Cricetulus griseus: one gene and its partner. The protein of the gene in region 2 purifies or fractionates together with the protein of the main gene of each other region. This does not show direct contact. Links are inferred from orthologs where the notes say so. Each region holds a gene or a part of one and is shown on either strand. Other genes may lie near its edges.

What was found.
Region 1: the proteins of Egfr (region 2) and Nup93 purify together in Homo sapiens (affinity purification with mass spectrometry, with the first as the bait; 3 studies listed by BioGRID). This does not show direct contact. The link is inferred for Cricetulus griseus from reciprocal best matches to the Homo sapiens genes EGFR and NUP93.

What each region holds. Positions count from the first base shown.
Region 1 is NC_048596.1:170,534,507-170,538,071, reverse strand, and holds part of Nup93 (nuclear pore complex protein Nup93), read right to left. Parts: intron 3,414-3,565; coding exon 3,274-3,413; intron 262-3,273; coding exon 129-261; intron 1-128. UniProt on the Homo sapiens protein: Plays a role in the nuclear pore complex (NPC) assembly and/or maintenance. May anchor nucleoporins, but not NUP153 and TPR, to the NPC. During renal development, regulates podocyte migration and proliferation through SMAD4 signaling.
Region 2 is NW_023276807.1:89,407,738-89,411,927, forward strand, and holds the start of Egfr (epidermal growth factor receptor), read right to left. Parts: upstream 2,864-4,190; 5' UTR 2,849-2,863; coding exon 2,768-2,848; intron 2,147-2,767; coding exon 1,963-2,146; intron 1-1,962. UniProt on the Homo sapiens protein: Receptor tyrosine kinase binding ligands of the EGF family and activating several signaling cascades to convert extracellular cues into appropriate cellular responses.

The sequences.
Region 1 (3,565 bases), on a different chromosome or scaffold from region 2:
TCTAGCTACATGGCAAGCTAAGCAGCCCCACCCACTCATCCATGGCCTCTTTGCCACACAGAACCTCCTTTCAACTGAGAACAACCAACAGCTTCAGAGTGTGTCTGACCGTGAGAGGTTTCCAGTACCTGAAGTCCTGGTGAGGGAGCTGGCAGTTTAATGTTTAGGAAACTTCGAACCAGCTGATAAGTCCCAGGCACACCGCCCAGCTGGGCCTGATGCAGATTTCCAAAGACAGTCACAAGGGTGTAATTTTTATAACTGGAAAGATGAAAAAAAAAAAAAAAAAAACCCAAAGTGGTGAAGGTTGACAACTTGCATTACAACATCTATGTCCACATCCAGAATACTCCTCTATGGGCAAGGCCTGGATTTTAAATTCCATATAGAAGAGGAAACAGTACACGCTTAATGAAGCAAATTCCATTCTCCACTACGGATGTTTACTACAGTTACCCCAAAGAATTCCCAGGGGAATACAACTGAGGGCTTCAAATACCATAAGGTGGAACCTAATGTTCTAAAGGGTTTGCTTTAAAAGACAAAACAAAACCTTTGATTTTAAAGAATTTGAAATAATTCCAAGGCAAGTCAAAATAGTTCAGTGAATCCCTTCGTACCTAGATGAGCCGTAGCGACATTTGTGTGTTTCCTGTCTCTGCATGTCCTACCTGACACCCAAATGCACACAGGAACATGATTTTGTTTATTCCCAGAAGCATTTAAAAATGTTACAAAAACCATGGCTACCTAACCTAGGATCATTTAAGCCATGTACCTCCCAAGAACCAGGAATGACCCTAAAGGCTAATTACAGAGAACAAATTGTGGAATCTGACATAGTTAGAAAAAATGGTTTCTAAAGAACTAGAAGTTGAGCTATGCAAAACTCTGTTTTATATATCTGGATCATAACTGTAGAAAAAGTAAAACTAAACTAAACATTCATGACAAAAGAGGGTGGGAACTATCACAGGGCAATAGGAGCCACCTCTGGGTGTGAGGAATGGTGCCTATCTTCTCTTTGACACTTTCCTAAATCCCTATAAAAAGCACATATTGTTCTGTAATGGAAAAGAAGCATTAGGCAATTAAACAATGCATTCTCCTCACCACTACATTCATTTAAAAGCAAAGACGAGAGAACAGAGCACTCTGTAGCAGCCAGGACAAACAGATGCCCACTACTACCTCCTCCAACTTGCAGTACGACAACTTACGTGCTGGCAAGATCCTAAATTAAAGAAGCCTAAACTCACTGGGAACCAAGACAAACATATCCTACCACAAGCCTTGGAACATGGAAGGGACAGACCAAACCTGTATTTTTCGCCTTACATTTAAAAACATATTTGGAACTAGGTCTCCTTTACCATCTGGTAGATTATGTAACTTGAAACTTTATATTATTCTGTCAGCAGAAAAGCATCTACAGAAATACTGTAACGGGGTGTACAGTTATTCAAACAGGAGCTTAGGAAGCTTTGAAAAGGATGCTGCCAGAGAGGGATGCTGTTCCAAAGATAAAGACAGGCTTTGTTAGCGGGACAGGACCTTCAGACAGTTCCAAAAGTCAGGCTAGAGAGCGGGCAAAGAATAAAAACATTAAATTAGGGGCTGCAGAGATGGTTCAGCAGTTAAGAGAACTTGCCGTTCTTACAGAGAATCTGGGTTGGATTCCTAGCACCCATATGGAGGCTTACAACTGTCTGTAACTCTAGTTCCGGAAGATCCAGTGCCCTTTTCTGATCTCACTGGCACCAGGCACACACATGGTGCACGTGGGTACTTGGAGGAAAAACACACATAAAATAAATACATCTAAAAAAATTAAAAATATTTTTTAAAAAAACTAAGTGCAATAAATAATAAAATGGGTTACATAAACAGGGATGCAGCCTTGTGACTGAAGCTCCAGTTTAAAGATTAAGTTTGTCAGGGAAAGCATTTTTCAAATTTATTTATTTATTTTTAACTCCTTAAGATTTTTATATGGTGTATGAAAATCTGGCTCAGTTTGCCAACTAAAATGAATAAATGTTACTAAATTAGATTCTTTATGGTTGGTGATCAATACAACCAAACCTCCATCTCAAAAGTTTAGCCTACAGGGCTGGAGAGATAGCTTATCAGTTGAGAGCAGTGACTGCTCTTCCAGAGGACCTGAGGTTCAATTCGAGACCCAAATGGTGGCTCACAGCCATCTGTAACTCCGGTCTTAGGGGGATCAAAACCCTCGTGTGGCCCCCATAGACACCGCGCCTATGTGATACACAAACATTCAGGCCAAAGAACCATACAAATAAAAATATAAACTAAAGAGAAAAATAAGTTTAGCCAAAGTCTGAAGAACTACTTTATAAAATCTTTACACACAGACTAGAGAAATTAAAAAACGAAAACCAAAGCCTTTTTAAATTCCAGATTTAATAGAATGGAGGCGAGTGAGTACAAACTGGAGGGTGCTCTCTTCATGTAGCTAAGGTGTAATTAGCATAGAATCTGATATGAAACAGCAGCATCAGTCTGAATTCCCTCAAGGAACTTCCTATCCAAGTATTATTTTGTTGACAAAGCTCTTCTCAAGCCAGCAGGCTGATGCCCAGTGCTCTGTCCCTAGCATGGGGTCTGCTGCACAGGTCTGGAATCCTGCTGGGATTCCAGAGTTCCACAAAGAAGGATGAATGGCACAGGTCCTAAGAGGACATAGCCACAAAGCCCTCAGCAACCCAGCCCAGACACAAAGCACTGGCCTCAGCAGCTTCACAGAGCCTGACTCGGGATTAACTGGGTAGCGTCAGGAGGGTCTTCCTAAGGTTTCAAAGCTGTCATATTGCAAGGGTGAGTTAAAATGCTGTAAGAAAACAAAGGAACCTGGGGAGAAAATGCTGAGTCATATTAGGAAAACAGGATTATGATGCAAGTCATTATATTCTAATCAACACGCCTCTACATTAAATGTGAAGGGCAGAGAAGTAAAAGAGGTCAACAGCTCCCCCTTACCACCATTCCCATGTATGATTTTTTATCAGTTGCAGAAACAGTCCTGGTAGATAAGTGTTCTGACAACAGAATTACCTCATACCAGTCAGGTTAAAGTACTCCAGTTTCAGCACACTCCGCCCCAGAACCACATAAGACTTGAGAAACAGGTGATTTTAGGGAAAGTGAAAGCCAACACCCCCCCCCCCCACCCCCCCCACACACAGAGAGAGAGAGAGAGAGAGAGAGAGAGAGAGAGAGAGAGAGAGAGAGAGAGCACAGCTACCTCACCTCTGCTCAAGGTATCCCAAGGCCTGCCTGACAAACTCCATGCGCACTTCTACACTGTTTCGGCTCTTCAGGGCATCAGTTGCTGGTGCCAATACCACATCTGTCATTTGTTTCACCATGGCCCACATATCAGAAATGCTCTGCATGTAAGTGAGATTACATGTGACAATGCTGTAAGGATGGAGAAGTTATGTGGCTATGACTACAATGCCAGGCAGAATGAGGAGGGACTGAGGTTTTCGGTCTGAGACGACACCCCCTCCCCCACCCTGGCTCAAACTCAGTACACAAG
Region 2 (4,190 bases):
GGGGCAGGTGACAGTTTTCTTAACAGATGCCAGGGGATAAAAGAACTTCAGAAGGAAGGTGGGCAAGTCAGAAAGAGCCAAGATGTGGAGCTCTACCTGGAAAATAGAGATGACAGCAGTATGATAGAAACAAGAGGAGACAGAAGTATAGGGTCAAACTTAGCAAAAGAAGACAGGCACATCAAGGTTGCAGTGACAACCAAGAGAAGAGACAAGGAGGCACAGGGAGGTGGGAGAGCCAACAATAGGTAACTGATAATTGGCCGGGGGCAGGATTCACTAGTCTCCTCCTTCTAACTGAATAGAGAAAGGCAATGAGTAGAAAGTCAAATCTTTTGTTTTTATTTCAACATTTGGGAAATGCTCAGTTGTGGCAGTAGTCCTATATTAAATAACTGGGACCAATAAAACTATAACCTTGCTTTAATTAGAAAATAGGGGTAGTTCAGTTAGAGCATGCACACACAGACACACATATAGACAACAACAGCAAAGTAGGAACTCAATAGCTGAGGCATGCTTTGTCTGTAGTAATACAGTTGATTTTTGTCAACACAGAGGGAACACATTAACAAATATGTGTACTACATTTTGGACGTGAGGGCACTGAGATACAGAGAAAAACACAGGTGAAGGAATATCTGCAAAGTCGTTTGACTGACGGGTGATGGAGTTGGGGCTGGAACACAGACAGCCTGGCTCCAGGATCTAGACTCACACCCGCTGGCTTCCTCACATGTATGAGGCAAGATAGGCAGAACAAGGCATGCCGAAAGTACCAAACAGGCCATTTCATGCAATGTGTGTACAGGAGAGATGAATGCTAGCAAAAATTCAGAAACATGCGTGGGTGCTCAGAGCAGTTAAAGTGGTGGGTGGGAATTCTGGAGGCAGTTTATGGGATGGTGAACCAGGGAGCTGAGGAAGGAAGTGTCTGGCTGGCTGTGTGGCCACATCCTAGCTCAACACACCAATAGGGTCCCATTCTCTCTACTTTTTCTTCCACCGCATCCCCTTCCCAGTCCAAATGGCTTCCCCATCAGAACTGCAGGGCACACAGGGATGAAAGAACCAGGCATGGGGTACAGGAAGAGTTATCTTAATGCCATGCCTTTATCTGTAAAATGACAGAGTACAACACCTGCTTTTATGGAAGGCTGTGGCATTAAGTGGAGTTACTGACTTGAGAAACAGTCCAGGAAATGGAGGAAGAATTGTTGTTTCTCATCATTTCAGCCACCCTTTCCATTTTCCTCTTCAACTCCAAAATCTTCCTTCCTCTTCCCAACTTACACCTGAGTTTCCATGTAACAATATTAACCTTGAAACCTATTCCTCAAACAGGACAGATTTTAAATACATTAGATCCCTTTCCCATGAGTGGTTTTGGGGTCCAACTGCTGTTGGTCCACTTTGGGAGAAACATCAAGTGACCAAATTCACAAGCATTTGGTGAAGCACACTAATTGTTCTGTTATTTTTCATTGCTGTTGTTAATGTTTTGCTATACCTAATCAATGAACTGAATGATGAGAGCCATATAGATTCAGGAAAGGCATGGCATGTATGGTTTTGGACACCTAATGTTTCAGACATCCAGTTTTGCCTAGGAATGCTTCCCTGCAATATGAGGGAGTGACTGCATGTCCTTTCTGCCTCTGGCCCAAGTTTATTTCCTATTAACACAAACTCTCACTCACCGAGGTTGACCGGAGAACTTGGTCATTTATTTCCATCTCTGGATGTTATTCCTCATCCATGGAAGAACTGGTTTCTACCTGGCTGAAATCTCTTTCCATCTCATTACCTATCATCTTTGTAACTGCCACCCACTGAATCCTGCAAACAGCACTCAGTACATGTGTTTCACAAACATGTCTTCTCTGAGTTAGGATTAACTGAAATGACAGATTTGCCACATGCCATCAGAATCCCTCTTGGCCTTGATGTCCCACCTCTTACCCTGTAGGTTCCGCATGGGCAGTTCTCTAAGCCCGGTTCTGTTTGTCCCATAGTTGGACAGGACAGCTAAGGCATAGGTGTTTTCATACAGAGTGTTCCCCCTGATGATCTGCAGGTTCTCCAGAGGGATCTTCTCCACAGTGTTGAGGGCAATGAGCACATAGCCAGCAACCTCCTGGATGGTCTGAGAGGGAAAACAAAGCCTATTAAAGTGGGCCCAGGAGCCCCATTTAACTTCACAATGACACATTCATGTGGCAGATAAATCTAAGACACATAGACAATCACATGTGGGTAAAGGTTGTGGCAGGATTTGCAATGATTTCTTTCACGTTTCATTTGAAGGTTACATTAAAGAACAGCTGATTGATATGTTGTGATTCCCACTTTAACTCAAATAAATGGAAGTGAAAATAACTATTTTGAATTCATCTCTCATGATTTCTTGTGGAAGGAAGAAGTGAGGGAGAAGGGGAAGAAAAAATGAAAAAGAAATAAAGGCAAAGTAAACCCAGCTGAAGTCCAAGTGTTTGCATAGCAGATTTTGAAGCCTTCAGAGTTGGCTCCTAATGGCTCACTAGGAATATTTAGGACTGTGGAACATCAGAAGGGTTTCTCTCCCATTTTCCCCCACAAGCAACTTGACTTTAGCTGGAAGAGTGGACTTCTCATAACACTCTCCTATAGTCCCTTGGATTTGTGGCTTCCATAAGATGAAGTATCCATGCCTCAAGTCAGATTCTACTGAGTGTTCATATTTCATTTGATAGTGTTTGAATAGGACAACCACATTAAACGAACTAACCTTTAAGAAGGAAAGGTCATAACCCCTTTGCACGTAGGTAATTTCCAAGTTCCCAAGGACCACTTCACAGTTGTTGAACATCCTCTGCAGGCTCAGAAAGTGGTCTTCAAAAGTGCCGAGTTGAGTGAGCCTGTTACTTGTGCCTTGGCAAACTAGAATAAAAGGGAAAGAGGTCTGTCAGAAGATGCCGAGTAAGGTAGCAAACCACAACAAAACAATACTCATCAGCTTTCTGAGCCACAGTGACTAACAATCATCTTTGATCAAAGCCACCACAATGCTGATGTGGTAAGAGATGTTTAAGTTTACACAGCTGTAATTCATCGTGAGACAGAACTCATCCCTGTGATGCAGGCAATCATGTGATATTAAGGACACAGAGAAAACAAAGCATTAAAAGTGGAAGGCGGGGGAGATGTAAATTGTATAGAGGATTGTATTAGTTACTTATTTTGTTTCTGTGGCAAATCACCAGACAAAATCCACTTAGTGAGGGAAGGGTTTATTTCAGCTTACAGTTCTAGGGAAGACAGTCAACTATGGCAGAAAAGGAATGGCAACCAAAATGTGGAACATCTGGTCACATTGCATTCACAGTCAGGAAGAAGAGAGAGGTAAGTACCTCTCAGCTCTCTTTCTCCATTTTAATTAGTTTGAGGACCCCAACCATGGAATGGTTCTGGCCACCTTTAGGGTAGAAATTCCCAAATCAATTAACCTCATCTAGAAAACTGTTCACAGATATGCCCAGATGTCTATTTCTATAGTGATTCTAAATCTTGTCATGTTGACAATCAAGTTTAACTGCAGAAGTCTCTAAAATAGAAAGATAGCAATTAAATTTCTGTGGATGACACAATTGCAAAATGAGTTAATAACAATGCAATGAACATTTTACTTCACAAAAATATGTGTGCTACATTGTTGTGTACACAAAGGGTCTCCAAAACCACAAGACACAATCGGCAATGTTTTCTAACCCCAATTCTATATACCTAAAAATCAATGAAAACAATGGAATTTTAAAAGTCAGCTGTTAGAAATTAAAAATACTCCTCAGAATCATTCAAGGACAAATCAAAGTTCTGATTATAGAATACCCAGAATTCTTTTTTAAACTGAAAAATAACGCTTTAAAGCCATAGGCTAGTAAGAACCCAACATGTCCTTCTGTCTTTTTTCACATTGTGTTATTCCAACTAACACAGGTATCCATGTTTGTCTTGCATCCCCGCCAATATACAGCCTGTCAAGACACAGACTTAATCCGAGAAAACATGCGAAATTAGGGGCCAAAGTTATACCACAGAAATGCACTCAGTAGTCTGCATTTAGAAGCAGAGGAAAGGATAGTAATAAAATGGTATTCACAACTTGGCTTTTGGGGAGACATGTTTAGGCAAGCAAAACAAAACAAAGAGGC